Oryzias latipes: one gene and its partner. The protein of the gene in region 1 purifies or fractionates together with the protein of each later gene. This does not show direct contact. Links are inferred from orthologs where the notes say so. Each region holds a gene or a part of one and is shown in the gene's direction. Other genes may lie near its edges.

Region 1 (3,826 bases):
AAACCTTTTCCTCCAGCTTTTCTGCTCTTTTAGGCTGCAGGAAGAAAAGCTTTGTGGTTCTGGTCTTTGTGGTTTTGTGCTGCAAAGAAAAACCGTAGTGAATTAAGTTAAATGAGCTTATACACTATCAAATGCAAGCTTGTATTTTTGTGTATGTGTGGTAATGGCCTCCAAGTGATGTGATAAAAGTATTTATGGTTATTTCATGATAAGAAAGAGGCAGTCCAAGGAAGTGAAAGGTTTTTTACTGTCAGGATGAGGCTAATTCCTGGAAGAGGCTTCCTTAATGCTTTATGACTTTACAAGGACACTTTAATTACTCTAATTTGTTTGTGCTTTACTTCCTTAGTCAGGGGTCAAATAGGGCATGTGAATGGTCCATTAGTACAAGTGGATGGACATGTGTCATAAACAATCAAAAAAGGCTGCTTCTTTTCTTTGTTGCACTTATGAAGCATTTATTTTATGTAATTTTTCCATTTCTTTGTGTTTCTTAATCAAATTGTGAACATTATTTTGGTCTTCTCTTTGTCACCCGGTGTATGTTTATATAATTTATTAAAAAACATTGTAATCGCCCATTGGAAAGATGAAAATTTCAAAAAAGCTCGCAATTCATCGATAAAAGAAAATTTCCACGTGGAGGAGGATTTTTTTTTAAAAAGAATTTTTAGGCATACTTAAATTGACATATTTTGCAAAACTGCAATGGAAACACTTTTTTGGAACTAAATGAGTCACGTGACTTACAACCAGATACCACACTGCACAGTGGGCGCCACCACAGGTCCCACAGCGTCACACAGCTCATCCAAAGTTGAGCGTGTCATGTGGAATTGTTGGATCCACAGCTCCTCTGTAAAATCCCCAACCACCATTTCCCAAAATGGCTTTATCCGTAGCCCCTCCCACGTGTAAGGAGCTCGCCACTCCATAGCCTGAAGAAGACACCGACGTCTCCTTTGATAGATGATGATTAGCGCTAGTGCTAGTACTAGCGCTAGTATCATGTGACTTGGTTTGTGTTTATTTGAATAATTATAATTTAATGGTTACAGTGTGATTGCGAAATTGTGGTTTTTTTAACATTTCTAAAATTTCAATAAATTTTTGCGGATATGTGTAACGAAAACGCAGCAAATGATTGTTTAACATCAAACTTCAACCCCTGACCGACCAAATAGCTGCCCTCCAATTTGATGCACGTAGCTACAGCTACAACCAATCGTCTTCAAAAAAGGAGTTCTTCGAAATTAACCCATAACCATGATCTGATGTGTAAAAATGACAGGGGGTTCCCATTTTTTTTCCAGCGGTGGAACAAGCACTACTGTGTGATCTCTGATGACAAACTGTACTACGCTGAAGAGTACGAGCAGGAAGAGGAAGATCCCAAGAAGGTAAAAGTCGCTCAACTGAATATTTGAATGTACGGAAACAAACATGAAGTATCTGAACATGTTTTTCCCACTGGACTGAAAATAAACGCAGATATTTGGAACAAAAAAAGTACCAAATTGAGAAAATTATTTGACGTCTGTCTGAACAAATCTTGAAGATATTTTGTGGTTTGTTCCGTCCCTCAGTACCAAGACATGCACTGTTCGGAGCCGTGGTTTCATGGTCAGATGAAGGAGGGCAGGCAGATGGCTGAGCGGCGGATCCATGAGTATTGCACAGAGACCGGGAGACGAGACGGTACCTTCCTGGTCCGACAAAGTGACACCTACGTCACTGACTATACGCTGTCATTTTGGTACATGTCCGCTTCTTTATGTCACCTCTAAATGCAAAGTCAAAGAAGTAGCATTCCTTTAGCAACCTTAAAGAGGCAGAGAAAGACTTTTACTTGTCTGTTCTGCAGGCGGGGTGGGAGAGTCCAGCACTGCAGGATCCGCTCTGGTTCAGAGGGGGGTCACACGTACTTCTTCCTGACTCCAAACCTGCACTTCCCCACCGTGTACTCTCTGATCCAGCACTACAAAGACATGCCGCTGCGCTGCCAGGACTTCGAGCTGCGCCTAACCGACGCCGTGCCCAAGCCGGACTCTCACCTCCAGGAAGGGTTCGTCCTGCAGCATCAGCATCAGTCCTGAAAAAAAAGAAGAAGAAAATAAAGATGACATCACAGCAGGCAAAACCATAAAAAACATTAAGGCGACCGAAATCTCCTATTGGAGTATAAAAGTAAAATCCACTAAAGAAAACCCCCAAAAACATGTTTTAAAATTATTATGGGATGGTCACAGGACCTACGGCCATTTTGTGGGAATGTGTGGAATTTGGCAATTTTAACATTTTTGCACAATGTGGGGGAAGAAAACTTTAGTTTGAGCAATCTTCACAAAATTTCACACACACATGCCACCAATTTAAGTCTACGACCGCAACTGAAGTTTCATTGACCTTTGACCTCAGGAAGAAGCAGCCATCTTGAATTAAGAATAATAATAAACATCTTTAGGACCTTCTACAAATGTAAACTCCGCCTTTGGATTTCCATCTTTCATCTCCTAACTCCTCGAGCATCATTAGGGAGCTACTTGGGGAAAAAAATGTTGCATTTAAAGTTTGTTAGTTTTAATAGTAGCAAGCCCACTAAAGTGGCGTTTGCTTACTGCTTGCACATTTTCTTCCGGAATTTTGTAAAAATTGGATGCATGAATCCTTGGCTCAAGTTGGACAAAAATGTATAGCGTCACATATGAACATATTAGGAATGTGGGCGTGGTAAAAAAAAAAAAAAACTCACTTTGCCAAGGCAATTCAAAAATGTACTTTTGTCAATTCTTCTAAAAATTTGATCTGTTCGTCACCCCCAGGTGACCCAAAACAACGGTTGCCATGGAGATAAAACCAACAGAAAAGCTGCCATTTTGCCAGTAGGGTCAGCCATGAAGGCGGGTCGCGCCTGCAGGCCATACAACGCCGCTCACGGCTTTAATTATTGTTTTACTGGAACATGAATAAAATCCCATTTTAGTTAGTAGAATAATCGGGAGTCAATTGCTTGTTCATAGCCAGAATGATTCATGGGCTGTGTTGATGTTTTTCTGTGCAGATGGTTCTACAGTAACCTGAGCAGAGGCCAGGCAGAGGATTACCTTCTGAGGATTCCCAGAGACGGAGCTTTCCTCATCCGACAGAGAGAAGGAGAGCCAGACTCCTTTGCCATCACATTTAGGTATGAACAGAGTGTTTTTTTAACCATGTAAAGGTAAATGTTGATGTCTGAGCCCCATCATGATTGTAACAAATACTTATGACATATTGGTGATATAGATATAGTCCTCATAAAGATATTGATTTTATTAAACTTTTTTTTTTATTTCTGTCATATGAATACTTTTTTCGTCCTTGTTTTTCTGAATTGTAAATTATTTAAAGACTATTGTTATTAGCGAGTGTTTATTTGATTTGTCTGTTGTTGTTTTATACCATAACTGAAATATGCAAAACCTAACCAAACAAATAGTTTTGTTAGAGAAACCCTCAACAGCTTGAAAGAGAAAAAGGGCCGTTGCCGAAGCCAATTTCTTCTTTTTTTAAATATATTTTCACTGCAACTATTACTGTAAACATCTCTCTAAATATTGCTCCAATTTTTTTTTTATCTTGCACCTTTGGGGGTTACTATATTTTCTCTAAATCCTTTTCTAAACAATACACATCTTTAAAAATCATATCCGGTAAAAATTATTCATAATTTTAATCATTTCCTTCCCGCTACCGTTTTGTTTGAAACATACAAGCTGCAATATTTCAAAAAATAGTTTTCAAAGAGCTGGTGAGTAAAGAGCAGTTTTACCGCAGAATACTTGTTTTT
Region 2 (4,295 bases), on another chromosome or scaffold:
TATCATCAGCTTTGTCCGAACTCCCTATATAGAACTATATAGTGCGGGACCATGTAGTGCTCTGGATTTTAGAAGCTATTTGGACACCATGCTCACTACTTTTTTGTTTTTAAACGGCAAATATGACATCAGCAATTTCCCGAAGTAAAACCCTGATAAATGCGAACAAAATATGAATCCACTGTTCTGATGATGAAAACATGGATGGTTTTTTAGGAAATAACATGAAAAATCATTCAAATGCAATGCATTGTGGTCTATATTTGCCAATCTAATGAGCACATACCGGTTTTTCGTGAAATTTCTAGGACACTGGAGTTTGGATTTTGTAGATTTGGACCACGCACTATATAGTGAACTAAAGTGAAGGAATTCGGACACAGCAATCATTTTGTGATTCTGCTCCAATATTCCTGTCTGAACTGTGAGTCATCATAATGTAATGAGGGATGAAATATTGCTTTTCTTTTTGTACTGTTAAACTGTAAACGTGTGTGGGGCTGTGGAAACCCGGCAGATCCCACTTTAAGCATGCAAAGGAGCACGATCCTGTTTGAAAGTCTTTGTCCAGCTCACTGTAAACACATTTTCTACATTTGGTGTCAGCACAAAGAAATAAAAATCACATAAAACATTTTTTTAATCCATTATTATAGTAGTAGGTTTAAAGGGTTGTCATCTGGACTCGTTTTTTATAGTTGAAGATGTTTCATCCAAAAAGCTTTGTCAATTCTGAAATAGCTGGTAAAAGAGCTGGTTTAACCCTTGTGCTATCTTAGATGACCCCACCCTTACATTGATGTGTTCTCCCTACCATGACAAAGGTGGATAAAGGTGGAAAGATTTCATGTAATCCATGGACACCAGTGAAGATCACAAATCATTGAAGAAAAAAGGTTCAGTGCACTGTCTAGTGGGTCTAGATGACCCAACTCCCAATGTTAAATGGCCTAGGATAGCACAAGGGTTATATGTGCTCATGGTGGGAGGAGTCAGACCTGAAACTGGATAGTATGGTCTACTTAGAATACTAGGTTTTGGGTCGTTAGGAGTCCTTTGTCCTCAGCTGGAGTTGGGGAGACAGTGGCTACCCTCCCCAGCCTGGTCATCTCTCTCAGCTGTTAACGACTCAGTTGGAACTGGTTTGGGTTTCAGAACACTGCTGTAGATGGATGGAAGAATAAACCTGAGACCACCATTCTTATTAAGAGAAGGTTTATCTGTCTTGACAAAGATGGCTTCTTTCACTCCTCGCTCAAACCATCCTTTCTCTCTGACTCCTCCCCCATGAGTACATATAATCAGAATTGACAAAGCCTTTTGGATAAGAGGTGAAACATCTTCAACCTTAAAAACCAAGTCTAGATGACAACCTTTAAACCCGCTACTATGATGGAATCTACCTGGATGAATGAGAGTCGTCATAGACATAAATCCATAATTGCACTTTTACGGTTTCGCCACAAGATGTCACTGTTGCATACTTTCATTAAAACAAATTATTCAAGTAAACTTTTAAAGAATTTCTATTTAAGCATTTACCTTTTTATTTGGAATGACTTTTATAAAATATAAACAGTTCTAAACATATTTTGTAAAAAATAATTTGGTCAAACCCATAAAAAATAGAAAATCTGTTCTGCAATAGTGTGGCTGCTGATTATGCAAATAATCATTAGACAATTGTACCAGGAAGTATTGGTTAAAAAAAAAAAGAAAGAAAGAAAAAAGCCCCGGCCAGCTGCTCGTAAGTTCCTCATTCTGGTACAGCAGCAGCATATGAGGCTGTTGACCCACTCGACAAGCCAACGTGCCTGCGGTTACTCTGATGAGGAGCACAAAGAAGGTTTCTGAGGACTACAGGGTTTCCACATACAGGGAAAGCTAATCAAACAGCCATACAGATACTCGCAGGTAAGATGTGTTCATTTTTTAAACAAAATGCTCATTTTACATCATTTCTGAGGTAGGACACATATATGTGACTGGTTAAATGAGTTTCAGTTTGCTCTGGAAAAGATTGACCTTTGAACAGTTTTAAGTGGCTTTTCTCTCAGATTTGTCATTTATTGGCACTTGACGTCCACTGCTTTTTCTACTTCCTAGTATCTCTCCCTCGTTTACTGATAGGGGAAGTGTGTCATTCAGTGGGACTCTGGGTGGGGGGGTTATAGACCTACATCCAGACCATCTAAAAAGACAAGAAAAAAAATCAAACCAAATTTCACTTGGTTTGACATAAAATCTAAAGTGGATCAGAAGCCTCAAATTCAGAATTTTACTTTATTTGCAATATGACTTTGATATTATATAAAATAAGAAATATAACCTTAAAAAGATGGAAGCAGGTCTGTTAATTTCTGAGGAACAGTGTTGATCTTTGTTCAATTTCAATCACACAGAGTAATTGAACTATTTTGATTTTGTATGCTGATTACACTAAACAAGTGAAGCATGAAAAGATTCAAAGTGAAAAAAATATTTTGAATGTTTCTTTTTTCCCAAAAACGGGACAATTTGCCCCGGATCGTAACATAATATGCCGTTTTTAGCCAAAATCCTAACAAAATCTGTGCCGTTTTCTAGGACATAGTTTTTGCAGAGCAGCAGGAGTTCTTTAGAAACTCTGAGTCGTGGACAGGACTGTTGGCGTGAGGCAACCCCGCCCCCCCTTCCCTTCGGCGCAGGGTAGATCACTACCCAAATAGGCTATTTTTCAAACTGCGTTTTTTTCGTCTGGTCCTGATTCACCACATTTTGAATAAAGAAATCCTCAGAAATGTATCTAATATATAAAAATGTATTATTTTTTATGATTTATTATCATAGAGTATTAAACAAAAACATTTACCACACCTGAAATGACACCTGATGTCTTCCTTCTTAACATACTCATCATTATGGTTGAATTGGGGGGGTTGTGTTGGAGAACAGCAGCTCCTCTTATCTTTAGAGGCTGAATTAATAATCAAAATTAAGAACAATGTTATAAATGATCCACGCGACTCAAATAATCTGATTTAGAAAACAATGTAAAACTCTCAAAAAAGGTCTTTTTTATTGTGTCAGCACATATCAGAAAATATGGCAGCTCTAACCACTGAATGGAAAAATAACTTCCTGTCTTCTACTGTTTAAACCCTACAGGTATTTGGGAGACTTTTTTCAACAGCAAACCCTTCAACAAAGCTTAGTTCAGCCTTCCACATAAAACATGACACAGAAACAGAAAGTTAAAAATGGGCAGTTATGACAGACACAAGCACACAATGCACCCGCAGGACATGAACAGGTACTTTCAGACCACATGGTCGTGTGGCATGAAAGCCAGCGTAACACCAGGAACTTACAGCAATTCGCTGGTCCTCTACGCTATCCAGAAAAAAAAGCCATTTTTGGACGCACTTTTATACTAATCGATACACAAAGACATGTCCAAAAGTTAGATAACAATATAAAATCACCCTTTCAATCTATATTTAGACAGTTTCAAGATTTATATTTCAAATTCAGATGCCTTGCAGATGTAAACCTGAGCTTTTGAATACGTTAAACACACAAAAAAGTCCTGTGTTGCTAGTTTTAACGCTACTATAATTGATTGTTTTACATTTTTGTTGTTCTTTATTTCCTGACACTTCTGATTCCCTAATTTAAGACTAACTTTGTGTGTATATACACACAAATATACACTCACACACACAGAGACAGACAGACAGGGATTATCCTTTACATAATGCTATTTTATAGATTGTTTATAGATCAAATACATTGTTTACATGTGTGTAAGGCTGTTAAAGTGTCACTTGTGATCATGCTTATAGAGTTTGATGGAAACTAAACTAAAAGTAAAGGGATTTTTTGGGAATTTCTTTTAACATATCTTTCCATTAGTGAATATTTGATTAGTATAAACGTATGATGTAATTTGGTAATTTATAGATCACTGCTTGTTTGTTTGAATTTAAAAGATTAACTCAAGTTTATTTACTTTAGATAAAGGTATTTATCCAAATTATTAAAAAATACCAACATAGTTTAATGCCTGGCATGAATTTCAGGTGATGGAACGCCATTATTCTTCTGTTCTCATATGTTTTGACATAAAACTGCTTGGCTTTAATAGTTTTTTAGTGATTTCCATTTTTCTTTAATCTGAATATAAAAGTTTTTAATGTTAATGTGAAAAAAAGTGTCACTTCTTTGTACTTCCCAAATAAAATAATACAAATTTGCTTTGATGGGGAGGAATTAATCCTGTGGTTGAATTTTCTGAACTTTGTAACTTAAAAATA

Evidence for each region.
Region 2: the proteins of plcg2 (region 1) and tyrosine-protein kinase Lyn purify together in Homo sapiens (affinity purification with western blotting; 3 studies listed by BioGRID, with this or other methods). This does not show direct contact. The link is inferred for Oryzias latipes from reciprocal best matches to the Homo sapiens genes PLCG2 and LYN.

Annotation. Positions count from the first base shown.
Region 1 is NC_019864.2:27,975,469-27,979,294, reverse strand, and holds part of plcg2 (1-phosphatidylinositol 4,5-bisphosphate phosphodiesterase gamma-2), read left to right. Parts: intron 1-1,313; coding exon 1,314-1,400; intron 1,401-1,586; coding exon 1,587-1,756; intron 1,757-1,864; coding exon 1,865-2,065; intron 2,066-3,061; coding exon 3,062-3,184; intron 3,185-3,826. UniProt on the Homo sapiens protein: The production of the second messenger molecules diacylglycerol (DAG) and inositol 1,4,5-trisphosphate (IP3) is mediated by activated phosphatidylinositol-specific phospholipase C enzymes. It is a crucial enzyme in transmembrane signaling.
Region 2 is NC_019875.2:19,364,206-19,368,500, reverse strand, and holds the start of tyrosine-protein kinase Lyn, read left to right. Parts: upstream 1-1,270; 5' UTR 1,271-1,914; intron 1,915-4,295. UniProt on the Homo sapiens protein: Non-receptor tyrosine-protein kinase that transmits signals from cell surface receptors and plays an important role in the regulation of innate and adaptive immune responses, hematopoiesis, responses to growth factors and cytokines, integrin signaling, but also responses to DNA damage and genotoxic agents.